Notamacropus eugenii: one gene and its partners. The protein of the gene in region 4 interacts with the protein of the main gene of each other region in a pairwise test. Links are inferred from orthologs where the notes say so. Each region holds a gene or a part of one and is shown on either strand. Other genes may lie near its edges.

Region 1 (7,075 bases), on a different chromosome or scaffold from region 4:
GCCTTTGGTCCAGTCTAACCTTCTCATCTTACAAATCTAGAAACCAAGGCCCTGAGCAGTCAGGTGACTGGCCCACTCCAGGCTATCCCCCAGTGGGGTGCACTTATCAGAAATGGGGGTATTGGGGAAGGGCAGCCCTTGCTACGTGTCTGCTGAGCACCTGCAGACCTGAGTTCAGCTTTTCCCTGCCTCAGTACCTGGCCTTTCATTCTCGTCCTCAGGCTCTTCCCGGCCCAGCCGCTCCGCTGGCAGAGGCTGGGGGAGGTGGGCATCTTCCGAGGGCGATGTGGGCACCAGGGGTGGCGGGAGGATGTGCAGGTCACTGGGCTCTAAGGGCCGGGTCACGTCCCCACCCTACAAAGGACTGAGTTTGGATCCAGGAGCAGTGCTCAGAGATCCCTGAATCCACCCAAGGGGAAGACCAAGGCAGGAGTGATGGGCACCAGATGGCTCCCAGGGAGGGGGAGGCACGTACACGGAAGAATTCCTTGAGCTGTGGGCTGTTGTTGAGGGCAGGAATGTTGACAGTGAAGCGCAGCATGGCCTCCGCCGCCTTCCGCCGCTCCTCAATCACTGAGGCTTCGAATCGGCCTGTGGTCAAGGACACGCCAGAGCCGTTAGGCCTCCTTCCCCTCCCCCTGGCAGTGGCTAGGCTGGGGGGCCTACACCGGCACACCATCAGGCCCCCACCAAACAAACCACCCACCAACGCTCTTCTGTTCTGGATCAAAACTTGTGTTTCTCCGTTGACTATGACACAGCCCCATCCCATGATTAGTGTGGAGGCTAGGCCAAAGCTGCCCTGGGGGAGGTGGGCAGAGTCCACTTCTGGCTGGGGGTCACAACCCAGCATGGGGTGGCCAACGCAGTCTGGGCCAGTGCTCCCCACTGCCCACCCCCAGGCCCTGTGGTCCAGGACAGTTTTGGACAAAGCAGCCACTGAGGCTGGATGTCTGAGGGCTGGACAGCTGCTGGGGCCAGACAACTGTGGAGGCTGGACGACTGAGGGCTGGCCCGGCCTCGGACACTCACCAAAGACCTGTGCCCGGGGAAAGGTTGGGAATTCCTCCAGGCGGCGGAAGAGGTTTCGGTGGGTGTAGGCCAGGTCCCCATGCAGGCGGCGGAAGTCGCTGTAGCGTTTCCAGATGACCACCTGGGCCCGAGCGGGACGCAAAGCCACCGTCTGGCTCCCTCCTTTTGCACTCAGGGAAACTGAGGCCCAGAGGGGACTGGACTGGATCCGGGCAGTTGGCCGTTCCACCCCCCGCCCCACCCTGGGCTGCCTGCAGGAGACAAGGGTACCCGCCCCCCACCCACCCCAACAGTCACCTCCTTGACATCCTCTTGGTTCGTCTTGGAGATGAACTGAGGAAGAAGAAAGCCAGGGCCAGTGAGGGGCTAACCCGCTTGGCCCCCCAGCCCTGCCCCAGGCTCAGCCCCCCAAGACCCCCCCACATCAGAGGACAAGGCCACCCTTGCCTCCACAATAACTGGGGAGAAGAGGCCATTTGGTGGGGGAGGGGAGTGGATCCTAGATGGAGGAAGACCTGAATTCTAATCCAGTCTGAGGTGCCAACTGGGTGACCCTGGGCAGATCATCTGACCTCCACTGCAAATGGGGATGACAGCATTCCTCCCCCCCAAATGGGAAAACGTGTAGGTCGCGGAGGGCCCCCAGACTCAGATCCTCTTGGGCAAGGGAGCAGCAGCCTCCCAGGGAGGGGGTGGGGCTCGGCGATCGCCCCCAGGGCACTGAGCGGGACAGGTGCGTGGGGCCCCGGGGGCCCTAGCACAGGAGGTTTTGGGGAGAAAACCCCCCAGCCGACGCCATTAATGACTTAGTGAGCGGAGGAGAAGCCGGCCAGGAAGCGGCGCTGCTCAAGTCCTACTAAGCGCCGGGGACGCTAAGCGGGGCTCGGACCTCCGGGGGTGCTTTCACCGCCTGCGACCTCGGCTGCCTCAGCCACCCTGGGAGGGGGTGCCCGCCTCACAGAGGAGGAAGCTGAGGCTTCCCCAACGCGCCCCGCCCTCCCCAGCCGCCCCCGGTGTGTTCCGGGCCGCAACGGGGGTCATTTCGCGAAGGGAGGCAGCAGCTCCCAGCTCTTTATTAACCTGTTTGCGCAAGGTGGAGGTAACCCCAGCCAAACAACTCTGCAGCTAGGCCCCGCCCATGCTGGCCCCGCCCATGCTGGCCCCGCCCCTTGCGTCTCCGTTAAAGGAACCCAGATTAGTCTTCCCTCCCTCCCCCGTAAATTAGTATAGTCCTAAATTCGCTCAGGGGCTCCACCCCTGCCTGACTCTCGAGGATGGAACGGTCCGGCCCCGCCTACTTAAAGGGGCTTCTTCTTCTTCTTCTTCTTCTTCTCCTCCTCCTCTTAAAGGGGCTTTGCGGTCACTCACCTGCGCCGTCACTTTGTACTCCGTGTAGCCCTTGGGATGGGTCCGCGTGTCCGACACTGTGTACAGCCGCCGGTAGTCGTCCTTAGCCTTGAGGGACATCCTCGAGGAGCCGGAGTCCGCAGGACTCCGGCGCCTCGGCCTGGCCACGGGCCTCCTCTTCCACGCTGTCCCCTCCCCTCCCCTCCCGTCCAGCCTCCGACGGGCACCGCCTCTTCTGCGCCTGCGCAAGGCTCTCCTTGGCCTCTCTTCCTGACTCCTATGCCCCTCCATGGTGCACGCAGGGACGGTCCTAAAACTCTTTGTTCTTTGGAAAGGCGTAGAATGAGCTACTCCGTAGGAAAGGCCGCCCCCTGGCGCCTGGGGAAGGCCATCGGTGCCCTGGACTCCAGGCAACAGGCATTCATTAAGCACCTACTGCATATCAGGCCCTGAGATAGACTTCAGGGAAAACCCAGCCCACTCCCACGTGGGGAAACTGAGGCCCCGGACGGCGGAAGACGTCAGGCTGGCACTGATGAGTCCCCTGGTGGGGCCGCTGAGGCCCTCACCCCCCTCCAAGCCCACTCCCCCAACACTTCAAGGGCCACTGAGAACCAGATCACTTTAGGCCACTGGTTTACTGCGAGCTGGGCCAAGGCCAGGGGCCTGGAGGGTGGCGGGGCAGGCCCAGCTTCTTCCAGGTCCTCATCCACACCAGACAGTTCTAGAGCTGCCTTCTGGACTTGGCCTTTCCTGCCCTCCCTCAACTGCTGGCAGAGTGGGCCACCCTTCTCTTTGGGAGCATGGGGAGGGAGTGTGGAAGCTCCCTTGACAGCAGAGGAGCCTGGGAGGAAGAAGAGCAGCCAGGAGCGAGGGGCACAGAGGACTTTATTCCCACAGCTGATCGGAGGAAGGGGCCCTCCCGGAGTCTCCCCCAATCCACAGACAGAGAGCTGCAGGAGGGACAGAAATAGGGAATGGGGGCCACTCCTCCCCAGGGAGGAAGGCTCTCCAACAGAGCAGCAGGGTCTCTCCTGTTAAATAGCACAAGCAGCATCTGGTTATGACAGGGAGGAGGCATTAGTTGGGGTCCCTTGGGCTTCCGTTCCTCCCCCCCCCAGTCCTGGCTCCCTGGGGGGCCCTGGATCAGAGAGAAGCAGGACAGAGGGATGGTTTGTGGGAGCTGGAGATGTGTGGAGGGGCTGCCCTTCAGCTGGGTCGAGGGGTCAGTCCAGGAACCGGTGACCCAGGGCAAGGAGGGGAGGGGTCATTCTGAAGTGAAGATTCGGCTGGAGATGTCATCCAGGAGCCAGTCAACCCCCAAAAGCAGGTTTTCCCCCGTCACTGCACTGCAGCCCTGGATGCACCAGTGGTGACTGCGGATGGCATTTAACTCCAGGATCTGAAGGAGGGAGAGTGACTCTCAGACAGCAGCCCTCCCAACCCTCCATCCCATCCAGCCACCTGGAGGCCTCAACTCACCTCTCGAATGTCATTAGATGAGAGAGCCCCAGGGAGGTCCTGCTTGTTGGCAAAGATCAGGAGAGTGGCTCCAGCCAGGCGCTAAGAGGGAAAGAAAGGTGGTGGTAGGGCCAGGAAGGAACCTGGGAGCTCTGAGCTAGCCAGCCTATGAGCCACTGTGAGCACCACTCCCAGGGCAGCATTAGGGAAAGGGACGTGAATGGGGTTGTGGGCGCTTGTCAGTGAGATACGATGACAAGAAAAGTCCACAGGAAACAGCTGCCTGGTCTTTGAGCAAAGAGCTGGACTGGGCATCTCGCCCAGTCTTGGGCTGCCTGGCATCCCAGTCCCCACCTACTTCTCCAGCTTTGTCATGTGACTCCCTGCACCCCCCCCCCCCCAATTCATTCTCTTCCATTTCTGGCCATCTGCCCTCCTCACTCCATAACCTCATCTTACAACGCTTACTTCCTGTTCTGCCTCTGCACTTGTCTTACCCTCCACTAGACCAGTCCTCTCTGAGGACTTTCTCATATCTTTGCTAATCTCTGCTGCCTAGCGCAGTATCTGGTAAACAGCAGGAAACGAATGTATGCTGATTCAAGTTAATGTGGACCTGTGATCTTTTTTTCAACCAAGCAAGCATTTATTAAGCCCCTACAATGAGCTAGGCATTCTGTCATGTGGTGGAGATCCAAAGACAGGAGCTCCTTCTTCCCTGTGCCTCAGTGTCCCTTTCTGGTAAGTGAGAAGGCAGGGCCTTCCTCCTCAGACTCCTCCCACTTGACAGCCCCCAGGCTGGCGCACCTCTTCCACGAGGAGGCTCTCCAGCTCCCGGCGGCAGTCCTCCATGCGCTGCTGGTCAGCACTGTCCACCACCCAGATGAGGCCGTCTGTGCTCTCAAAGTAGTTGCGCCAGTAGGAGCGGAGGGACTTCTGGCCTCCCACGTCCCAGATGTTCAGCTTGAACCTGAGGAGGAAGGGAGAGAGGGTGGATGGGCGCGGCCGGCCCGCGCTGTGCGCCCAGCTCCTGGGGAGGGGCGTCCCTCACCCTCGGTGCTCCAGGGTCTTGATGTTGAAGCCCAGGGTGGGCGAGATGGTGTCGATGTCCTCCCCGTTGAACTTCTTTAGGATGGTGGTCTTGCCTGCGTTGTCCAGACCGCTGGGGCGGCAGTTAAGGAGCCTCGGAGGCAGGACCTCCCAAGGGAGGGAAGTGACTTGCCCAAGGTCACCTCGATCCTTCCACAAACTAGGTGCGCACCTACTGTGTGCCTGGCACTAGGGGCACCAAGATGAACAGTAAGAAACCCGCTCGGGCCCTGCCCTCGAAGAACTAGCCTAGCACAAAGTGAAGCTCCCTATGAGAGGGAAGGCAACATGCATTCATGAGGCTCCTACTGTGTGCCTGGGACACACAAGGAGGCAACGAGCTGGACTTGTGCTCCGGGGACTCCCGAGATCCAGTCTGCTAGGGTCTAGCCCAAATCCCGGACCCTCCATCTCCCGCCTCCCCGCCAGTGCACGCGAGCTCCCTTCCATGCCCCCGGGGTAGTTGGCCCATTCCACTTTTCTAGCCGCACCCCCCTCTGCGTGGGGGCAGTCCCTACAGCCTGCACTCCCCCGTTTTTGTCCCGGATGGTACGGACCAACTCCCAACCCACCGCCTCCTAGGGCTATTGGTCGATCCCGGCTTACGTAACCCGCGCAGGGTAGTTGGTACGATCCTGCCCAGAGCGGCGCGTCCTCCCTCCCCCCACCCCGGGGGAGCGCGTGGTAGCGCCCGCCCGCGCCTTTCCCTGGCCCCCGGCCACCCAAGGGTTCGGGGAGCTCGAGGATACAGCATGAGGAGCCGCAACTCCCGCTCCTTCTGCTTCATCTTCTTCAGGATGGTCAGGAGCCCCATGGTCCCAGCCTCCCCTCCCCGCCGCTGCGCCTTCCTAGTCCGGGACCCCGCTCCCCCCTCTCATTGGCTAGAGCGCGCCTCACCGGAACCCGATTGGCTCGGCCCTTGTTTGAGCCCGCCCCTTCTCGCCGGAGCCGGCGGCAGGAGAAGGCACCGCCCTGCTGGGCGGGGGCGGGGCTACGGGGGCGGCTGGGCCCAAACTGGCCCGCCCCCGCCGCTTAACCCCTGGTGTGCCGGCCCGGGACGGGAGGGCGCCGCGAAGAGGTGCATCCCGATTCACATCGCACCCCTCTACTTGTGGAAGGGGGCTGGACACAGAGCTGGGTTCAAGGGCAGGCCCTCCCCTGAGCGGGGTCAGCCTAGTCCTCGAGGTCCGGCGGATGGGCTTCCCTCCCACCTCTACCCCTGGATCTTGGGAGAAGGAAATGAACAAAGACTTCACTTCCCATGAGGCGCCGGGAGAGTCTTTGGACTCCATTTCCCAGAAGGCCGTGTCGGGTCAAGCCCTCCTTATTTAGTGCCCGCGGTTTGCGGAGAACTAAAGCAGCGGGCATACCTAAGGCCCGGCAGGTGCCTGCCCTGGAGGCGCTTACCATCTGATGCGGAGACCACGTGCCCGCTGGTGCCTACAAAGCAGGCTGGAGGCAGGGTAGATGGGGAGGCGCTCACGGAGGGAGGCGCTGGGGAGGGTCCCCTGTAGAAAGTGGGGTTTCAGCTGGGGCTAGCAGGAAGTCGGGGGGCAGGGGTCGGCCGGGGAGGCTGCCCAGAGCCAGGAGAGGCCGGGGTCCCTGACTGCGGAGGGAGGAAGGTGTAGAGACAGAGGGGGGTAGCCCTCTGCACCCCGGGCCCCCCACTACCAGTGCTGGGCGGGACAGCCCCGCCCCCCGCGCAGCTGCCCCTGCATCCATTTGAAGACTCTCCTGCAGGGTTCCCCCAGCCCCCCTGCTTTGGGTCTGGTCTAGAGCCTGGGAGGGTTTTGGGCAGTAAAGGCCAGAGCTTGATAACCCTTTGTTATAACCTTTAGATTGTTATAGTTTGGATTAAGAAGAGCCTGGACCTAGTGGTCCTTTGTTTAACCTAGAGGACACCTTTTGGGGACCCCCTTACCAAACCCTGCTGGCATCTTAGCGATAAGGAAAAACCCAGATCTCTTGGGCTGTAACTTGGGCTCTGCCAGCTCCAAAGGCCTGTCCAGGTCAGGGTGTCTGTCCGCAGGGCGGTGGGACTTTCTCCTCCTCTGATGTCGGAGGCACGCTGCAGAAAGAACATGCCCACGGCTCGGGAGCTGCTCTGTCCATCCCCTTATCAGATGGACGACGTGTGCATCCAAGA
Region 2 (7,431 bases), on a different chromosome or scaffold from region 4:
CAAATGCCTAGAGAATTAAGTTCAAACTTCTCTCTCTAGTATTTAATGTCCTTCATAATGGAACTCCATCTTATTTATCCCAACCAGATTATACTACCCTCCAACTTAATTTCTGCCAAACTAGATCTCATCTGCTGTTCAAAGCAAATTCCACCAAGTTTCCCTGAATTTCACATAATGATGACCCCATATGTATGGTGTCCCCACATGTAATGCCACTGGATCCTACACTACCACTTATATATTATTGTCTCCCCCAGTGAATCTATCAGCTTCCTGGAGGCACAGAACATGTCTACATTTTATAACTCAAACATTACCTAAAAAAGTTTAAGTCACATAGTACATACTTCAAATACTTCTTGAATAGTACCATTTCCACAAATTCCTTCTGAGGTAAAGTGTAGTCTACACAAACCACGAATGCAAATAAGATACTCACCTAGCTTTACAAATGCATTTACTAAATTCCAAACTTCTAGCATAACTACTTTATACTACTGAAAATCCCCACTGTACCTCACACAGATATTCATTACAACTGTTGATAATCAGAATTACTGTTGGGAGAGTCAGGTAGGTGAAACTATATCCTTGTTAAAATACTCCAAAACTGCTTAAGAAAATTACCTACAATTTCATGAGAAAAGTGCTTTCTTGACAGTTAAGTGTAGTTTCTTCATTATATATAATTTCAAGGCAATACAAGGTAGTCTAGGACTATACCTGGGTACAGGTTCGAAAACCTGGATTCTTCAGTTATTAGTTCCTTGATCCTGAATAAATTAATCTGTTTGACCCCCCCCATCCCCTCCTCTGTAAAATAAGAAAGGTAAAGTAGATGCTCTCCTGAGCCCCTTCCACTTCTAACATTTGTTGACTCAATACAGAAACTGAATTTGAAAATAAATATTTTTAAGGCCTTAATTTCTAAAATTTTTTTTGAAGGGGGAAGGCAAGGCAACTGAGGTTAAGTGACTTGCCCAAAGTCACACAATCAGTAAGTGTCAAGTATCTTTAGACCCCATTTGAACTCAAGTCCTCCCGACTCCAGGGCTAGTGCTGCATTCACTGTGCCACCTAGCTGCCCCCTTTAACTTCTAAAATTTGAAAACTGAACCTTAACCAGAAAAAGATTAAAAAAGTTTGTGAGAATATTCTCTCAGTTTACAAGAGTGTGTGCGGGGGGTGGCGGTGGTGCCGAAGCCATTAAAATCATTTGTACATTTTGTTAAGGACTTAAAACTAGCGTTTGGTAACCCCTCCAATTTAGACAGAGGAGGCAGCAGTCATGTGGAGGGTTGTGCCCACAATCAGTCATAACCGTGGGGGCAAGAGGCCGAGGTAGACAGGTGTATTTGGGCATGTGGCTGCCTGCGTGCGTGCGTGGAGATTGTGCCTAGAAGCAGATCTTCATCCCACACAATGAAATACTGTGAGATGTTGCTGCTCACGCTTATCAAGAGCAGGAGACAATCAAACGTTCTCACCGTCTCTACTCACATGGATTTTGCTTTGGCATCCCCAGCACAGTCCCTGGTAAACAGTAAGTGCTCAATAAACACCTGACTGGTGGGAAGCGCTGGTTATTATCCGGATATCCCAGTAAAGTTTTTCCAAAGCCTATTCAAGTGCTCAGAAGCGTCCGTTCAGCACCCTGAGATGAGAGACCCAGGGATCCTAAGGTGGGGTGCGCTTAGGGCTCCAGAAGCTTTTCAGCGTCCCAACACAAAATACCCTGTTCAGTCTGCCAGGACCTGAATCTCGCTTTTTAAACCTCTTTCACTCCAGTCCATGGAGGGTAAAGATACCCCGAGTCTCAGGACGCCACGAAATAACCCCCAAACCAGGACCACACGGTTCCCCAGAACTACGAACTATGGAAGGAAGCCCTGGGGGTTTCCCAAGGCTCCGGGGCTGCACATGACCTGGCACCCCAAGACTAGGACCACAAGTACCAGCCCGAGTCCTTCGCGAGGCCCGCAGACACCCCCCAAGTCGGCGCGGCCAGCGCCCCGAGGATCCCCGCCCAGGAGGGTCGGGCTCACTCCCCCCTCCGCCCCCCATGGATCGCCCCAACTTAAAGGTCGGCTCGGGTCTGACGTGTCCCAGGTTATTACGAAGGTTTCTCGGGTGTCTGTCACGTGCACACGAGAGGCGGGGCGGGGGCGGGGCAGCTGTCTCCAGTCCTACCTGGGGCTAACCTGGCAGGCCCCCCCCTCCTCGGAGCTCTGCCCCGGCCCCGCCCCCGGCCCGCACCTCCGCGGCCTCCGCCCCGGCCCCCAGCACGACACCTTCCGACGTTTGGGGGTGCGGCGGCAGCGCCCCCACGCCGGGTTCTCCCGGCCCTGACTATGACACAATTCCTGTCACCCCCCCGGCTGCGGGGGAGCCCCGCTATCCGCCCCGGCCTCCCCAGCGGCGGGGACCCCGCCCGGCCCGGCCCACGCCCCCCGGCCCCCGGCCCGGCCCTCCCCGGCCCGGCCCTCCCCGGCCCTCACCTTGCTCAGCACCCCGCAGAGCTCCACAGGCGGCCCGGACTCGGTCTCCGGATCCTCCTCCGAGCCCGACGAGTTCCAGCTCTGGTTATCCGACATGGAGGCGCGACAGCCGAGCAGGAGAGCGGCCCCCGCGGCCTGCGCTGCGCCCGCACAGGCGCCCAGCCCCCGGGAGGGAGGGCCCGGGGTCCGCCCCGGCGCCGGGGGCAGGAGGAGACGGCGCGGAGCCCGAGCGGCCGGGCGCCGAGCGGACCGGGGACGGGGACGGGGAAGGGGAAGGAGAAGGAGCGGCGAAGGCAGCTTGCCCTTCCAGCCGTCGGCCGCCGCCGTCCCCCCGCACTCGCCGGGCGCCGCCACCGAAGGCGCTCCCCCGTCGGTGCCGAGGTCGGGGGAAGAAGGGGTGGAAGGGAAGAAGGTGAGGGGAGGGAGGAGAACACGCAGCTGCAGCGACGGGGCTTCGCTCACACCTCCGCCGCCGCCATCTTCCCGGCTCTGGACACTATTTACCCTCCCCCTTCTCTCTACCCCTCCCCTTCAGCCCTCCCATTCTCCCCGCCCCCTCCTCGACCCGCCCACCAGCGTGTGACGCAACGCGCACGGCTCGAGCCGGCGAGGGGCGGGGCCGCGGCTCTGGCGGAGGCGGAGAGACGGCCCCTAATCCCAGTCCGCCTCCCGGCTTCTGGTAACCGGGAAGATGCGAGGCAGAGAGCGGGGTTGGTCGCACTGCATCTTGGGAGGTGTAGTGTTCCGCCGAGCGCGCTGCTCGTCGGGAGGTGTAGTTGCGGTTCTGAGGCCCTTCGGTGAGTGGATCCGGCGGGGGTGTCTCTTTATACTGGGGCAGGGGGTGGGCATCCTTCGCGGCCCCTGGATTCTCTTCCCACACATACCCTCTTCTCAACCCCTGGCCCAGAGCGTTTGTGAGGAGCCGGCTGGACCGGACCGGATGGGACCGGACGTGAGCTCCTTCCCGTAGGTTCTGGAGAGGCCGAGGCACCCTGAACGCCTTCGGAGGGCTCTGGGCGCTTACGCCGCTTCGCGCCCCACCTCCCTGGGGGCAGCCAGATGCCCCGCGTAGGCCCCGAGCGGCCGGGCCCCGAGCGGCCAGGCCCGCTGTGCCCGGGTGTCCGTGCGCGTGCGCACGCCTGGAGCCCCGGTCGTACGGCGGAGGATGCCCGGGCATGTAGGGATGCTGCGGGAAGCAGGTGACAGGCAGAGGCGAGCAGGGTACCACTGGCGCCTGAGCCTCTCGCGTGGGGGCGTCTCCGGGGCACGATGCCTTGCGCCCTCCGGGTGGTTAAGTCAGACGGTGCAGCTGGCTTCCACCCCCCAGCCCCTCCCCCCCGGGGCTCCTAAGGGGTGAGCGGGAGTTGGCACCCTCAGTATGAAGTACAAGGCTGGCATTAGGGCAGAGTGCCCGGGCTGGCTTCAGAGAGCACTCGTGAAACTGGAGATGACTGCCCTTAGCCACCCCCCCAGAGCAGACCTTCTGCCCCAGGATGGTCGTTGCTTACATTTTGTAGCCTAAAACATGCTTTATTTTGTGCCTTGTTCCCCAAAGCTGATTTGAGGGTGCCCGGGATGCTGGTCGACCTAAACTGTGTTTTTTGTGGAGCCTCAGAATTACGTGTTTTGGCTGTGTCAGACTAGAACCGCCTTACCCCTAAACTCCAGAGGAAACGCGAACGTTTCTGGAAGCCTTGTTTATGGGGGTGTGTGTGCGTTGTTCAAACACTTCAGTTAGCTGTATGACCGTGGACAGGGTGTTGTGGCAGTTTTACGGGAGCGCCTCTTGTGCCTCTCTTACCCCATGGTCGGTTTTGATTTCCTGACTTAAAAATCATGAGTTTCGGTTATGTTTTCTTTCTGGCTAATATGTGAGAGATACCTGTTTTACAGTAAAATCTTCAGGTTGTATTCACATAGTGTGGAACCAAGTTCAAATTAGTATCTTTATTGAACTGAAAGCTTATAAAAATAAACCTAGAGCATTAAAAGTCACAGCTGTCATTCAGAAAATAAGATGGAAGAGCTCTTTCATCTTCCCTGATCCAGAATGTTTTTCAAGCATAAGAGATATTCTGATCAAATTTTGTTTTTAACTGCGTATTTACTGATGCTGTTACCAAGCTGGATTTTTAAAAACATATCTCGTATTTAAAATTGTGATTTTTTTTCAAATAGACAATGAGTTATTAAGAAATTGATTTCATAATAGTTCATATTTATAGAAGCATCATATATTTCTTTAAATTCTTATATTTTGTGCATCTTAAGTTAATTATACCTTTGTGACTATCAGCAGTTAGAGCTGTGGTAGTGCTTACTCAGTGTGAAGTTACTTTGTGTATTAATATGAAAATTTTTTTAAAGGTTCTTGCCGCTTTGTTCCTCTATATAATTAAACTCTTTTCAGGTTTCCAAGTACAAGACCTCTTTACAGTGATTTGAATACATAACAATGAAGATTTATTTTATTACTGTCTTACTATCATCTTGAAGAAATTACAGTAGAATTATCTTTAATATGAAAGTATTATATAGACTTCCTATCTTATATAGTAAGGGAGAACCTACAGTCATTCTCCTATTTACTAACACCAGTTCAACAATATTTCTCTCATAACTGTCATCCCTGCTAAACATAACTACAAAAACACCCCTTCCTTTCTCTCTACCACCTCCTTCCCACTGATTGCTGCAGACCCTGTTTCCTGTGCCTCTCACCAGCCTCTCACTGCCCTTTCCTTGCCCTGAGTTTTACTTCCTTGGGGTAGTCACTCGCCACCAAAACATCACTTATCCAACACTAGGTAAAAGAAGAGGAAAGGAACTTTGAGCAGTAGGTCCCTTTTTCACTCCTCTCTCTCATTGAAACAGTTCTAGCTTCTCACTAAAAAGGAGACATGAGACCGTTATTTTTAAAAATACACTTTCTTGATGCTTTCGGTTTTTATATCACTTTCATTTTCTACCCCCACCACACTCCACCAGTCACATTCTCCTGTGACAAAGAAAAACAATTTTATAAAGACTGAATCTGACACTGTGTAAGATTCTGGCCTAATATTAGGTTCTTCCACCTCTGCCATGAGTGAGAATTGATGTTTCATTATCTCTTCTCCAGGACTTTGATGGGCTTTTCATTTAATTAGAATTTGACTTCTTATTGGTGGTATTTTTATTACTGTAGTCACTGTGTACACTGTTTACTTTGGGTCATTTCATACAGATTTTCCCACATTTCTCCGAATTCCATGTCCATCATTTCTTAGTGCACAGTAATATTGTATTATTTTCACGTACCATAGTTTTTGTAATCATTGATCACTTGAAGGATAATGACAGTCTCCAGTTTGTTGCTACCAATATTTATAGCAGAGTGTTCCTCTAAATATTTTTCATATATTGAACCTTTGTTTCTATCTTTGATTTCCTTGGGATATATAACTACTAGTGGGATTGCAAGATCAAAGATATAAACAGTTTAGTTACTCTTCTTAAATAATTCCAAATCAAAATCCAGAATGGCTGGACCATGCATGCCACAGCTCCCCCAGCAGTTTATCATTGGGCCCTTTCAGCATGGACTGACTGTTCCCATCTTTTGTCATAGCATAGCCATGTGTTTGTGTGAAGGAACACATGTAGAGACCAGATTTATGTACCTATGTATATGAATGGGAAACAATATATGTAATGGCATTATAGAGGGATTTGTAGAAATAGTTGTAGACATTTGTGTTTATACATGTATGTGTATTTCAAAAGGTAGAATGTTCAGTTGTATAAATGTGTTAGTGGATAGCTATCTTTTTAATACTTGGCTGCATAAAGATAAGCAGCTGTTAGAAACATTCATCTGTGCACATTTGTGCAAACTGTTAAAGAAGCTTCTTCTGTAAGTATGTGTGTAAATATTTGTATCCACAAAATGGGCGATCACGTATGTATGCAGGTATATTTGAGGGTGACCGACAGCCGTGGTAGGACACAGAAAAACACTTGGGAAATTGGAAACCATCTCCGGTCCCTGTTTATTCCAGTCCCAGATCAGAGGAGCCACCTTCTATGTCTTGGAGATGAAAGAAGTTTCTGTTGTCAGGCTGTCATGTCCATGGAGGCAGAATGTTCCTGACTTACCAAAGTGGAACTGGAAACATACTTTCTCATAGAAACGTTGTTATGAAATAGCAACTAGGTCCTATAACATTATTAGTACTAAATCAGTAGTGGCTACATTACTGATTAAATAAATAGACTTCTTTTTTTTCAGCCTGGGAACTTATTGCTGTGTTGATTGTCTGGAAAAGTATGAGGCCCAAAGAACATACTCAGAAAGACCTGTTGGAACATAACTTGTTTATGGACTTGGGACTGCCTTATGTTGATTTCTTATTACTCATAGAGAATTTTAAAAATTGAAGGAAACTGAGAGATCATGTAATCTAACTTTTTCATTTCATACGTAAAGAAACTGAGGCCCAGTGAGGTAAGGGGGTCTTGCCCCCAAAGTTACACAAATATTAAGTGTCAGAGAGTGGCTCAAATTTAGACCTTCTGAATCAAAATCTGATACTCTTTCTACTGAACAACCTGTAGTATATGCAGCTGTTAAGTAGCATATGCCTAACAGAGTTTAGGTAGAAGAATTTTATAAAATATTTATAAAATATTTAAAATAAAATTTGAAATGTATTTAAATTAGATGACTGGCCAAAATATATTATATACTATATCTATATCTATATCTCTATATTAGACTAGATAATTATCTCTTTAAAACAAAAACATCAATTTTCTCCAATATATCTTTTAAATAAGGAAAAAAGAAAAGGCTTATTGTTGACCTTTTATCAATCACATGTAATTATTAATACTTAATTCTATATATGCCATAATTATGATTTGTATATTATACATAACATATTGGCTA
Region 3 (6,974 bases), about 350 Mb from region 4:
AGCCACACAAGACACCCCTATGTAACATGTGGAAGGCAGTCTTTTCTATATGGTAACAACTTTTAGTGACTATCATGCTATTAAGGTGAAGCAAAATATAAATCAAAGAGATGTATTTTTGCCAAAGGTGTTTTCCAGTGTCATGGAAGCTATCTAGCATAGTCTCTAACAGGTGGCAGGGTCTTATGGATGTCATGGTGTATGGATGATCTTGTGATGATTGTAGAATATGCAGAATATGGCAATGTTTCCATAGCTATTCAAAAAGTTGAGTTTAATTATCTATGCAAAAACCCCAAGGGAATGAAGAATTTCTATTGTCTAGACTGCAATATGGAGTTGGAAAGACAGCCCCTAAATGTATCAGTATGCATATCTTATATATATATATACAGTGAGTTGGATTCATAGTTAGAGGAGAATAGGCTAGCTTGCTTTTGGGAAATTGCACAGTGCTTTTTTTTTTTAATGACCTCAAGCTTCTCCCCTGAGATAAAGACTCATCTTTTAAAAATTATATAAATAATATATATATATTTTTTCAGTCAGTAAAAATCTACCTTATTTTCTCCCCCAAACAAACCTCCCTGCCTAAAAATGAGAATTAAAAAACAACACCCTGTTGCAAACATGGTCAAACAAAACATATTTCTGCATTGAAGGTCCATCTTTTTAACAATAATATTCTCCTAGTGGTGCTGGATGTCTGTGTGGTATGAAAGCCAACAATTTCCAAAGACTTAAAATTGAGTGTTACCTGAAGAATATGAGGTGCATGGTGGTTGGGAGAAGGCTATACATTGTTACTAGTGAAGAATTGCATAAAAAAAGCATTGTAAACATTGTTGTCCAAGAGATAATAACTGTAAAAAGATGTGGACTGGTCATGTGACAAGAATGAGGGATAGTCCACAAGCTCCGCCAATATCCATTCATTGTCAAGATATTAAGGAGGCCTCCACCATTTTTGGTGCAGCACATGTTGAGGATTACTGAAAGGTCATGAACCAGAGATGTGAAGAAGGACAGAATAGTTTAAAAAGGTACCCACATTTATAAGATCACAGATCCATTAAAATAACAAAATATCAATGTTGACAAGTTTCAATTCATACAATGATATTTCCATTAGTTGGTTGTTGGACAATATTGTTGTTGTGGTTTGTCCTTCCTTCTCGAAGAGGACCATGCTATCAGGGAGATGATGATATGACTTGCAGTTGACTTTGATTTGAGTGAAGAAGGGTCGTGTAAGGTCACCAGCCTCACTTTCTCCTCCTGAGCCATCTGGGTCTAGCGGCCAGATATTCATCAGGGTGACTGGAGATGGCCCAGGATGCAATAGTGCTAGGCCTGAATCAGGAAGACCCATCTTCCTGAGTTCAAATCTAGCCTCAAACATTTACTAGTGGGAGGTAAGTGCTATTACTATGCATATTTGACAAATGAGGAAACTGAGGCAAATAGAATTTAATTAAGGCTAGGTTGCACCGTGGAGAGAGTATTGGACCTGGATTCAGGAAGACCTGATTTCAGATCCAGCCTTAGACATTTACAAGTTGTGTGACCCTGGAAAAGTCACTTAGCATCCATTTGCCTCAGTTTTATTAACCAGTAAAATTTGAATAGCAACAGCACCTACCTCTCAAAGATTTGTGGAATAAAATGAGATAACTTTTGTAAAGTCCAGGGCCTGGCACTTAGTAGGTACTTAATACATCTTCATTTCCTTCCTTTTATATCCATTCCAATGCCCTTTCCTTTGTACTATCATGCCTCAAATAGATCAATTTAAATGATTAATTATTACTCTGACTTTTCATGTCTATATTTCATGAAAGAAACATACCACGTTTTCTAAACTTTTACTTTAGTTTCTGAGTAAACCTCTTTTTGCAAACTGGGGAGAAGAGGCATAAGACCTAGGATTTGAATAATCTCATATTTAGAGTATCCATAACAAGATAATGTTTATGAAAAGTCTGAAAACTGCCTTTTCCACTATTTAACCATTATCCCTGTGGAATTAGAAGTAGTCCATATTGTACTCAGGGACCGTTTTTCATTTTTCTTTGTTTAATGTGTTGTTATAGCCAAAGAATTCACCATCTAACGGTCAACTTGCTGGTGAATGACCCCTACGTGCTTAGCTAGTTGGGCCTTGGATAGTAAACTGAGTTTCTTTGACTCTGTCTTTTGAAAATACAAATGCAAAAATATTGATTTCAAAATAACTCTTGTTAGGTACAAGTCTTATGTCACCTATGTGTTAAGAAAACCCAGGAGACTAAGATTATTGCTTCATATAACAGTGTTTAAAGGAATTCCTTTTTTTGTGGTGACACCATGTGTGTATACATCAGTATAGTCGTATTAAAAAAAAAATTCAAGGCTTATACCTATTGCTTAAATCTAAGGAACCAGTGTACTTCTCAGCATTGTTTTATGTGTATTCTAAATTCCTCTCTCCTGCTTGGCATTTTATATACCTGAATTGGAAGAGTGGAATGTTCTGGAAAATGGAACCTTGAAATGTGATTTCACTAGAAATACACCAAAATCTTTTTTTTAACCTTGATGACTTAAAGGTGCAGGTTATTTGTGATTTGTTTGTGGATCTCTCAACTCCCGAAAATTTTTTACTGAGAGTATAGTTTGGTTTGAAGAAAGGATTCTGTTGACTCTTTAATAAGTGTTCAATACAATAAAAATGGATGCTTAGTGTGGATATTTTCATAATTAACTTTTGGTCAATTTTTACTGCCATCATATTCTCCTGCTACACTTAGTATTTAGATAAAGAATAAAGATTTAGATCTTTGCTGATAAAACTCTTACTCATCTGATGTTCATAATGCCTAGATTATTTGTTTTAATACGTCATTACATCATTAGCCTAGAATTTCTTGGCTGTTAATATTATGAATTTGGTTAAAACAGCAAGTATAATTATAGAGTACATTCCCAGGAGTACTTTTCCCATCAAGATGAGCTCTGGTCCAATCTTTACTAGATTACTGAGTCTGATTTCTCAGCTTCACAATGTAGAGGAAAGTAGATAACTTGTAAGAGCCCAAAGGATGTTTACAGTTTCAAAAAATAGATCTGTAAGAGAGAGTCTAACTAAAGTCGGTGGCACAGCAGATAGAGCATCAGTTCTGAAGTTAGGAAGATTAATCTTTCTGACTTCAAATCTGTCTTCAGACACTTACTGTTTGACCCTGAGATTGTCACTTAGCCCTGAATACCTGAGTTCTTTGTCCGTAAAATGAACTGGAGAAGAAAATGACAAGCCACTCCAGTATGTTTGCCAAGAAAATCCCAGATGGACTCACAAAAAATCAGATATGATGGACCAACAGTAAACTGTACATACCCTTTGATCCAGTGATACTACTACTAAGCCTATACCTCAAATGGATAAAATAAAGAGGAAAAAAAAAACCCTCATCTGTACAAGAAAAAGCCGTGCTTTTGTAGCGGCAAAGACCTGGAAACTTAGGGGTGAACCTGAATCAGGGAATGGTTGAACAAATAATGGTATATAAATGTAATGAAGTGATATTGTGTTGTAAGAAACGATGAAAAGGAAGGAGAAACCTGGGAAGACTTATATGAACTGATGCAGAGTAAAATGAGCAGAACCAGGTGAACAATTACACAACTACAACATTGTAAAGGGAAACAACCCCGAAAGACTGAACTCTGATTTAATGTAATGACCAGTTGCCATTCCATATGCCCTTATCTATTGGGTAAGAACAAGCAAAAGGGGTGTCACCTCTTTTTTCATCAGGATTTTGAGGGGTTTCGAAAGCTGTAAACAAGCACAAAGCTGGGAAGGCATCCTCAAAAATTCTGGGGCCAGAAAATCCCTCAAGAATCTCCCAGTTGCATTGTTTGGGGGAGGGAGGAGGGGACGAAGAGGATGAAAGGAGGAGAGAGAATGCGAAACTGGAGACATAGATCCCTCACTGGGCTTGCCGAGTGAGGTGTCTGGCCGCTCTTGCTCCTTCGTGGGGTCAGCCCGCTGTGCCCCACGGCTGCTTCCTCCAGCAGCTGCCACCCGGGGGAATTGCGGCGGCTGCGGCCGCGCTTGGAAGCCAGGACGGAGAGGGCAGAGCAGTACTAGGAGGGAACGCTGCCCGGCTCTTGGCAGCGGCCGAGGACCGGGGAAGGAGAGCTCGCGCTCGCACAGACCCGGGCGGCCTTCAGGCTCCCTGAGAGCCCAGCGCTGCGCAAAGCCCTGTGCCGGGCTAAGCCATGGCTACTGACAGTAAGTCTCCCGACAATGCAGAATTGGGATGAGGGGACTGATTTGGGTAGGCGGGCGTCGTTGAGATGCCAAATCCTTCCACTGATCCCTTCCCCCATTTGCCTCCAGCTCCCCGCATCTGCCTCTCTGCCCCCGGGAGTTTGGGAAACAAGCGAGAGATGTGCTACCTCCCTGGCAACCAGTGCTTGGCACTGCATATATATACATCACCGAGGCTGCTCTGGCCCAGATGCATCTGAGTGTGGGAATGTGCTCTGTCCTTTGGGATGTGTGTGTGTGTGTGTGTGTGTGTGTGTGTGTGTGTGTGTGTGTGTGTGTGTATGTGTGTGTGTGTGTTGGGGGGTGGGGGATGATACTTGGAAACCGTGTTTGATGCTTTCCACGGTGAATTGAAAGTGGCTGTATAGCGCTGGACAGATACCCTGGTTGGTCAGGTTGAGAACCTATAGTTCCTCTGAATGGCAGATCCCCAGGACGCCCTCCTATCTTCCCACGTATCAGTTAGACTCCTGTTGTCTTTTCCGGTTTGAGGTTTGTCTTGGCCACAGAGAGTTCTTGTTTGGGTTCCTTGTATATATCTTTTAATAAAGTTAATAAGAAAATAAAATAAATAACGATAAGATATTTAATAAAAGTATTGACACCTTTGAGCCTTGCTTTGTGCACAAGCCCGAACCCTAAATATTTTCCCCAAAGCCAGGATCTTGTTGGCTAGGAAATGATTAGTAGTGAATTACATGTGGTAAGTAGAAACAATGCTGAATGGAGGAGGGCAAGGTCATTGTGCTGGCAAAGACATTGTTGGCACTTAGCATCATTGGTTACTTTCAGAGCTTTTGAAAATATAATCACATTTATGAAAGCCCATTAAGTCAAAAGCATACAGAAAGTATACAAGAAACATTTATTAAGGAGCCACTGTGTGCAGAACACCTAGCTACATGTAGGGCATATATGAAGACGTGATAGATGTGGTTCCTTACTTTAAAGGTGCTTATACTTCATGAGGGGATAAAATACCAGTTCATATGTTTTAATATGCAATTTACATAAATGAGGACCAAGAGTCCGTATTTATATTTATGTACATAAATAGAGACAAAGCAAGTTTCTTCTGTGTAGGTCCTTAAAGGATGGTTCTTATTCCTTTGGAGGCTCAAGGAAGAGGGGACTCAAGGAAGGCTTTTTGGAGGAGGTGGCTACTCCTCTGTGACATGAAGACCTGACTGGCTCAAAGAAACCCATGTCCTGTGGTGTGAACTGGGGTATTAAGTATAGACAAGAGCTGTAGTTTCTAGGAGTAGACTTAGGGAACTCTGGGTATGTTCAGCTGTTGGAACAAGTCATCCTATAGGAGAATTCATGTGCCCTCTAGACTTACTCAAGATATTCTGTTTTAATTAAAATTTTCAATTTTATTACAAATTTGGTAAACTTCAAAAGATGTGAACATGTCAATTTACAAAGAAAAACAAAAAATAGGATTGTGTATGAAGCTATGAACTTCTGTTATGTATGGATATCCCCTCACTAGGTATAGTTTGTGGGTTATTTTTTTTTAACATAACTGAAATTTAACATGGCAGCTCAAACCCTGCCCTGCTTTTCCATGTTCCCTTTTGAACTTCTTACTGTTCTCTGTTTATTTTAAATGGCTCACATATACTATTTTCTTTTTTTCTTTCTCTTTTGTATTCCTAAATGTCATTTTATTTTCACTCCAACTCTGGAAGGCAGGTACTATAATTATCCCTGTTTTACAGATGAGGAAATTGAGATAGCTTCTAAGTTTCTGAGGTTGAATTTGAACTTGTTTTCCTGGCTCCAGGTTTAGTCCTTTATATACTGGGCCATCTATTAGCTGCCTCTACTAGTGATGATCTGCAGCATTTTTTTCACATGATTGTTGATAGATTTCATTTCTTCATTTGAGAAGTGACTTTTCATATCTCTTGACCATTTATCTATTGGAGAATGGCTCTTGTTCTTATATTTTAAATCAATCCTCTATGCTTCTTGAATAGCACACATTTATTAGAGAATGTTGCTATACATATATTAAAATGTTTATTTTCTCCTTTTAACTAGATTAATTTTATTTGCAAGGAAATTTTTCAAGGTTATTTGATCAAAATTGCCTATTGATTAACTCTTCTAGTTTTTAAACAGTATGGATGGTTTTGAAGATTACTACTTTGTAACAGTTTCAGATGGAGGCCTTCTTCCTCTTTTCCTTTTCCCTTTTAAATTATTTCCTTTGGGATTCTTGATGTTTTATCCCTCTGCAAAATTTTATAAAAATAATACACACACTGATGAAGGTATGAAAAGGAAATATAGACAAGGCTTGGGAAACAATACTCTATAGAAGACTACACCTTTAAAATCATGCAATAGACAAAAGTAGGCAGAGACTGCTGTGATTATTGTTCGTTGGCTATAGAAAGAATTGATTTAGGTAGATCAAGATGCCATCTTAAAGGCTCTCCTGCAAGCTGGCTTCTGAGCCTATGTCAAAATCATTTAAGACTCTTGGAAAGATGTAAAAAAAAGTACAGGAAGGGGAAAATGGCCTCTAGTTATAAAAGCATTTATAGTAGCTCCTTTTTAAAAAAAATGTACTTCATTTATTTATTTATTTATTTTTAGTTTTCCCTTTTACTAGATTTTGAGTTCCAAAATTTTCCCCCTTCTCAAC
Region 4 (7,200 bases):
AATGAAGTAAATGATTGCTAATGTCTCATTCAGCTCTAAATTCTATACACTTCCATGGATTTCAGGGCTAGTTTAATAAAACATGATACTATGTGAAACAAAGAACAAACAACATTCCCAAATAAATTGCTCTTGGTTTTGGCAAACACTAACTGTGAAGATGACTGTAATGTTTTTTATAATTCGATTCAATATTGTTTGCAGGCATTCATTTATGTGGGACTTGTCATATTAATGTCACTCTTACAAATATCTGCATATTCCTCATGTCACCCCCCTCCTCACCCCCCCCCCCCAATTTAAGCTCCTAGAGGGCAGGTTCTGTGTCATTTTTCAATTTGTATCTCTCTCTCACAGCATATTTCACAGTGTATCTTTAATAAAACAGAACTGAATAAAGGTCATCTCCAAATAAGCAAGTCTTCCCCTTTTTGCCCTCTGAACCCATAAGTCAGCAGGATACTAGGAGAGTTTTATCAATAATCACTTTTCATAAGTTCAGTTCCTTTCCAAAAGTCTTTGTAAGATCGCTAAATAATATTCTTTTGTCTAAGGTATACTGTCTCCATATTTCAAATTACTTCTCTTTCATACTTTTATTTTTCCATCTTTTCCGACATCTCCCAAATATATCTGATAGTCTCCACAACCAAAAGTTTCTGATACAAAATATAGGAAGGTGAATGACTAGCCTCATTATTTGGATATCCTTTACACCTTAATAACATTTTCTTTTGTGTCTGAGCAAAATACAAAACACTCAAAGAGGTCTTTTCTTAGTTTCTCATTAGGGAAAAAAAAAAATACTACAGTGTGACCTTGAACAAGTCACTTTTCCTCCGAGGCTTGGTTTTCCCTTTCTGTAAGATGAGGTTAATATCTTGGTAATCTCTTTAACTCCTGACGGGTTCTATGGTTTTATTAATAAATTCTGCAGGAGATTACAATGGCTAGTTCTTGACCACCTACATAATTGCTATACTGATAAAATTGCTTCCTTTCCCAGCAGTATCTTGTATTAATCAAAAAATCCAAGCCAATAAACAAATGAAGTTTCTTGAGTTTTTAACAAGCTTAAGTTTCCTTTCAAAAGGAACTCCTGGCTAAGATGGAAGATTCATAAAAAATAAAAGTACTACATATTCAAGTATTCAAATAAGAGTTGAAGTAATCTTCACAAGCTTTACAGAATTCAGTCTTTTAAACTAAAAAGAATTCATTGCTACCAATCGATCCAACATAAAAAAAAATCCTGCATAATAAAATGCTGCAAAGAGAAGTACCAGTTCAAATGCCCGGACAGGAAGAAAAATGCTTTAAATCTACCACTACCCAAAGAACCACTGACATCTCAAAAATGTTATTTTTCTCGATTGGCTGGTTCTATTCCAAGAATCCACAGGTTCGGGGGCTTTTTGCTTCGTCTTTTAGCGTCAACCATTTTGGCTTTTTCAGGGACCGCATGCGCCTGTACAGGTTCCCGCAGCCCGTCCCACGCTGCGGCAGACAGCCGGCAGGTGTGCCCCTCCTGCCAAGGCACGACCCAGCCAGGGCTCCAGCAGCTGCCAGCACAGACGCCACATCATAGGCATCAGTCCGGGAGAACTGGGCGGTGGCGACGGCCCCCCCCGCCCCTTCGGCACCGCTGGGGGCGCTCTTGCCGGCACCACGGAGCCAGAGGCGGGCCCGCCGAGGGCAGGCTGCAGCGGCGGCAGGAGGGCGCCCCTTCCCCAGCATGGGTCCGGGCACCACGCTAAAATCCAACCCCCCCGCCCCCCCTCTCCATTCCTTCATGTACGCATCCTCCGAGGTCTCTCCCGGCCCGGAACAAAGAGGGAAAAGGGAAGGGAAGGGTGTGGGGGCCCTGCGGGGCTGCCACAGAACGCACATGGCCCCAGCCGCCCAGGCGCAGACAATAAAGTCGGAGGGAGGCCAGGCTGACCATCACCACCATGACTACCACCACCATCGCCCCCCCCGGCCCCACCCTCCTCCCCCGACCTCGCTCCCGCCAGGGGCAGACAAAGCTCTCGGGGGGCAGAAAGGGGGCTCCACACCCAAGGAGGTGGGAAGGGCAGCGGGCGGGACCCCCCTCCCCCACCTCCCCCCGGGCCGGACGCTCACTCACCGGCAGAGCCCGAGGATCCGCGGCGCTTGGGCGCGGCCGGGGTGGAGGGGGGCGCGGCCGGAGCCGGGGTGCTCGGGGTCCAGGCAGGGGGCGCAGGATCTGGGTGGGGGCCCACGCCGGCCGTTGGGGGAGGGGGAGGGGGGCGGGAAGGAGGCTCGTCTTCCTCCGAGGATGCGGCAGCGGCTGCGGAGGGCGGCGGGGACGGCGAGGACGAGGACACCGGGCTGGGCTCCCAGCGGGGCTGCCGCTCGGCGGCTGCGGGGGGCACCGCGGGCAGGGGTCCCCGGGGGGCCGGCGGCACCGGCTCCTTCTCGAAATCCAGGAGGGGCGCGGCGCCGGCGGCGGCGTTGGACGGCGGCGGCGTCGCAGTCATGCCGGCGGCCGGCTTCCTCTCCAGCACCTCCAGCTCCTCCAGGTCCTCGTCCTCGTCCTCCTCTTCCTCCTCCTCCTCCTCCTCCTCGTCCTCTGGGTCCTTCACGAACTGATACTTGAACTCTGGTTGAGGCCGGGCCGGGCCCGCGGCGGCGCCCGAAGAGGAGACCAGGGGCGACTGGTCCAGGTCTTCCATGGCCGGGCTGGGAAGGATGCTGCTGCGGCCGGGCTGAGGGACGGGGAAGGGAGGCTGTGGGGCGGGGAGGGCTTTCTCTTGGAAAGCGCCGAGAGGAACGGAGACGGGGAGTGACTGAGAGACTCCAAGAGAGAGGCGCTCAGGGGCGCGGCGGCTGCGGAACAATGAGTCGGCTCCTCCTGCCTCGGCGCCCGCAGCTGCGCTGCTCTGCGCTGCGCCGCGCCACCCACCAGCCCCCAGGCCCCGCCGCCGCCCAGACCGAGGAGGGAGGGAAGGAGGAAGGCGGAGAGAGGCGAGATGGCAGAGCCAAGGCACTCTCCGCCCAGTTTGGCGCGACTCCGGCGGGGAGAAACGCGGCACTGGGCGGGGCGGGGCGGGGCTCGAAAAGAAGGGCCGGGCCTGCGAAAAGCACGAGCCAATAGGCGGTGGGATCCGGGGAAAGAAGGGCAGAGCTGTCCAATGAGAACGAGAAGGGGAACCAAGGGGCCGGCTTTGCAGCCCCACTCTAGCCGCGGGAGGGGAGGAGGGGAGTGAAGTTCCATGGGAGGGGCTTAGGGACCAGGGGATTTGGCCCAGGCCTCCTGGGGATGCTGGCCTGGGCTAGGGCTGGCTGCCTGGACTGGGCAGGTTTATCGGTTAAAGGGTGGGAGAAGTACCCCGATATGGGGACTGGGAGGCATTTGGAGAAGGGAAAATCCTCCCTCGCAGAAAACGGAACTGGAAAAAATAATAGGTGTAATGGATCCTGGAGGCGGGGAGAGTCTTTTAATTCAATAAACAAGACAGACTTAAAAGACTTAAAAATGCCAAAGTGATTTCTTCCTCTCACTGAGGAGCCCCCCAAAATTAACCCCCATATTCAAGAAATCTCTGTGCCCTCCAGTCCGTGACCTGGGATGCAGACAGAAGACGCCAAAGCCTTGGGGTGAGGGCGGGGGGGAGGGGGGGGAGGAGAGAACGAGCGGTTCCCTCCCTGCCAGGACGTTGTAGCCCATCCTGCCTGCGCTTGGCCTTTTCACATGATGGGTAGATGAGTCATCCGGGCGGAGGGTGGGAGCCGAACGGGAAGACCTTTGCCTGTGTCTGGGAGCTAACTAGATTCCCGTTACATTCCCAGCCAACTCAGTTTTGTCATTAAACGTTGCTGAGGATTGCAGGGGTCTGAAGCTCGGGGTGCATTCAGTGCTCCACTTTATTTGTAGGAGGGGACTTGGCCCTCTTTTCACTTTCTACAATGCTTGAAATTTGGAGAAACTGGTTCCAACGTATCCAAGCTAGGAATTTAGATTTTCTTTGTTTCCAATGTAGTCTTCATTTCCAAGGTGTCCCCCTCATTTGCCACTGGGAATTGCTGGTTATTCAGAATGATCTTTTAAACAAAACTCAAACATGTCCAAAAGATGACTCTTGTAAATGATCTTGACTAAGGCTGAAATTGACTATGCAGTTTCATTCCAGGAAGAGGGAATGTTGAATGTATCCTTTTTCATGTATGTGAATATGATAAACTTCTCTACTTGGCCAGATCACTTCTCTAAGGCAGATTAAACATAAATTATGAAACTTTATGGCCCAGGACTTTCCCACAATTGTAACTTGCCTTTAATTCAAAGATTCAATTCAACAAGCATATAAGGGCCGGTGGCCTCATCACCTAAGTTATCTCATATTCATTTTGGATTTTTCTCTATGTACTGGGACATGTAGATGCAAGGGCTCTTTCATTTGTGGTTTTGTATCCCCAGTACGTAGCCCAGTATAAAGTCTTGTGGACTGATTGATTGATGGTCCACTGTGTTCAAACTACTGTCCTAAATAGTGGAAATAAAAAGATGAAAAACACCACTGCCCTTGTCATCAGAACAATGATCTGGAACAACAGAAAAGCCCTCTGGGACCATCTAGTCCAACTCCCTTGTTTTTCAGTGGAGCAAACCAAGAGCCAGGGATATTTCATGACTTGCTCAAAGTTTGGAAATTAGAACTAGTGCTCTTTCTATGACAGCAGAGGTAGCAGGGAGTACAAGAAGGACACAGGTAGAATACAAAGTTAGTTTGTGAAAAGGACAAAAGAGAGATTCAAAGGACTGGAAGAAAATTTGAGGAGAAAAGAAAACACTTTCAGCTAGAGAATGGAGAGATCAGGGAAATCATCATGGCACAAGTGATGCCCAAGCTGGACCTTGAAGAGAAGGAGGCTCTAAGTTTGAGAGGGTCCTAGCATAGGACATGGCATAGCCAGATAGCCCTTAATACTTGTCACTTCAGTGCCCATTGATATTGCCTTTTAAGTGATTAAAAACAGTTTTAGGAGACAGGTGAAAAGGCAACCAGAATTGTGAAGAGATATCAGTTTATATCACAGTTGGTCAGTTGAAGGAATGGGAGTGTTTAGCTCAGAGAATTTAATTCCATAAACATTTGCTAAGTACCTAATACGTGCCAGGCTCTGTGCTAAACACAAATACAAAAATACAAATACAAACACAAATACAAAAAGAGGCAAAAGACAGTCCCTGCCTTCAAGGAGCTTACAACATAATGAGGGACCCATGCAAACAAACATATACAAAGCAACTTCTTCAACCGTTCTCCAACTAATAGGCATCCCTTCACTTGCCAATTCTTTACTACCACAAAAAGAGCTACTCTAAATATTTCCGGACATGTAGGTCCTTCTTCTTTGATCTCTTTGGGATATAAACCTAATAGCGGTATTATTGGGTCCAAGGGTGTGCACTTTTTTTTAGCCCTTTGGGCACAGGGTTTTTTTGTTGTTTTTTAAATAACATGTTGAACTTATTACATATTTTTTAAAAAGAGCAATCTGTAAAGCATATATATTTGTAGCATCATGTACAGTCTTCTTTTTCTATTCTTTCTATATGAAAATGCTCATCTTATTTGGTATTAAGTTCAGAATAAAACATTTTTTAAAAATAAATTCAACAAATGTTTAGTGGGCACCTACTGTGTGCCCAGCATAATACTAGATTCTCTGATGGATAGAAGAGTTCTTTGGAGGCCTTTTGTACTGAATACTCTTTTTTAAAGTTACATGTTGAATTTATTTTATCTATTTTTTAACTTTTCTTGATTACATGCATAAACAATTTTTAATTCTTTTTTAAAATATTTTTTAAATTCTTTTTTTAAAATTTGAGTTCCAAATTCTCTCCCTCCTCCCACCCCTCCCCCACTCATTGAAAAGGCAAGCAATTTGCTATAGCTTATACATGTGCAGTCAGGCAAAATATATTTCCAGATTAGCCATGTTGCAAAAGAAAACAGACAGAAAAAAGAGGGGAAAAAGTTTTTTTTTTAAATGGATGTTTTGATCTGCATTCAGACTCTATCAGTTCTTTCTCTAGAGAAAGCATTTTTCATTTTAAGTCCTCTGGAATTGTCTTGGATGATTGTATGACAAAATAGCTAAGTCATTCACAGCTGATCATTGTACAATATTACTGTTATAGTATACAATGGTCTGGTTCTACTTACTTCACTTTGCATCAGTTTATATAAATCTTCCCAGTTTTTCTCTAAAAACCATCCTGCTTATCAATTCTTACAGCACAATAGTATTCTATCACAATCATATATCACAATTTGTTCAGTCAATCTCCAATTAATGGACGTTCCCTCAATTTCTAATTCTTTGCCACCACAAAAAGAGCTGCTATAAATATTTTTGTACATATATGTCCTTTTCCTTTTTCTTTGATTTCTTTAGAATACAGACCTAGTAGTAGTATTGATGTGTCAGAGGATAGGCATAGTTTTATAGCTCATTGGGGATAGTTGCCAATTGTTCTCCAAAATAGTTGGACTAGTTCACAACTCCACCAATAATGGTATTTGCTAGTGTCCCTATTTTCTATATCTCCTCCAGCATTTGCCTTTTCCTTTTTCTTTCTTGTTATCCAATCTGATAGATGTGAGGTGGTACCTCAAGGTTGTTTTCATTTGCGTTTCTCTAGTCAGTTGTGATTTTGAGCATTTTTTCATATGACCACAGATAGCTTTAATTTCTTCTAATCAAAACTTCCTGTTCATATCCTTGGATCATTTATCAATTGGGGAATGGTTCTTTTTATATATATATATATATATATATATATAAATTTGGCTCAGTTACCTATATGCTTGAAAAGTGAGGCCCTTATCAGAGAAACTTGCTATAAAAGTATTTCGCAGTTAACTGTTTTTCTTCTCATTTTAGCTGCATTGGTTTTGTTTGTGTAAAAAAAATTATTTCATGTAATCAAAATTATCCATTTTACTTCCTGTGATCTTCTTTTTCTCTTGTTTGGTCATAAACTCTTCCCTTATCCATAGACCTGACAGGTAAATTTTTCCATGCTCCCCTAATTTGCTTATAAAATTACCCTTTATGTCTAAATCATTTACCCATTTTGACCTTATCTTGGTATATGGTATGAGAGGTTGCTATGCCTAGTTTCTGCCAAACTGCTTTCCAGTTTTCCCAGCAATTTTTCTCAAA

What was found.
Region 1: the proteins of RTN4 (region 4) and SNX15 interact in binary tests that used the Homo sapiens proteins (3 or more experiments, as listed by UniProt). The two-hybrid records come from large-scale screens. The link is inferred for Notamacropus eugenii from reciprocal best matches to the Homo sapiens genes RTN4 and SNX15.
Region 2: the proteins of RTN4 (region 4) and CERT1 interact in binary tests that used the Homo sapiens proteins (3 or more experiments, as listed by UniProt). The link is inferred for Notamacropus eugenii from reciprocal best matches to the Homo sapiens genes RTN4 and CERT1.
Region 3: the proteins of RTN4 (region 4) and SYT16 interact in binary tests that used the Homo sapiens proteins (3 or more experiments, as listed by UniProt). The link is inferred for Notamacropus eugenii from reciprocal best matches to the Homo sapiens genes RTN4 and SYT16.

Annotation. Positions count from the first base shown.
Region 1 is NC_092873.1:17,764,117-17,771,191, reverse strand, and holds the start of SNX15 (sorting nexin-15), read right to left. Parts: upstream 3,005-7,075; 5' UTR 2,671-3,004; coding exon 2,401-2,670; intron 1,366-2,400; coding exon 1,330-1,365; intron 1,154-1,329; coding exon 1,033-1,153; intron 592-1,032; coding exon 476-591; intron 355-475; coding exon 198-354; intron 1-197. Other genes in the region: ARL2 (ADP-ribosylation factor-like protein 2), read right to left, coding at 3,647-3,781, 3,862-3,942, 4,648-4,810, 4,892-5,002, 5,679-5,743. UniProt on the Homo sapiens protein: May be involved in several stages of intracellular trafficking. Overexpression of SNX15 disrupts the normal trafficking of proteins from the plasma membrane to recycling endosomes or the TGN.
Region 2 is NC_092875.1:468,909,122-468,916,552, forward strand, and holds the start of CERT1 (ceramide transfer protein), read right to left. Parts: upstream 3,005-7,431; 5' UTR 2,598-3,004; coding exon 2,502-2,597; intron 1-2,501. UniProt on the Homo sapiens protein: Shelters ceramides and diacylglycerol lipids inside its START domain and mediates the intracellular trafficking of ceramides and diacylglycerol lipids in a non-vesicular manner.
Region 3 is NC_092872.1:305,332,853-305,339,826, forward strand, and holds the start of SYT16 (synaptotagmin-16), read left to right. Parts: upstream 1-3,970; 5' UTR 3,971-4,263; coding exon 4,264-4,276; intron 4,277-6,974. UniProt on the Homo sapiens protein: May be involved in the trafficking and exocytosis of secretory vesicles in non-neuronal tissues. Is Ca(2+)-independent.
Region 4 is NC_092872.1:651,279,891-651,287,090, reverse strand, and holds the start of RTN4 (reticulon-4), read right to left. Parts: upstream 3,007-7,200; 5' UTR 2,697-3,006; coding exon 2,129-2,696; intron 1-2,128. UniProt on the Homo sapiens protein: Required to induce the formation and stabilization of endoplasmic reticulum (ER) tubules. They regulate membrane morphogenesis in the ER by promoting tubular ER production.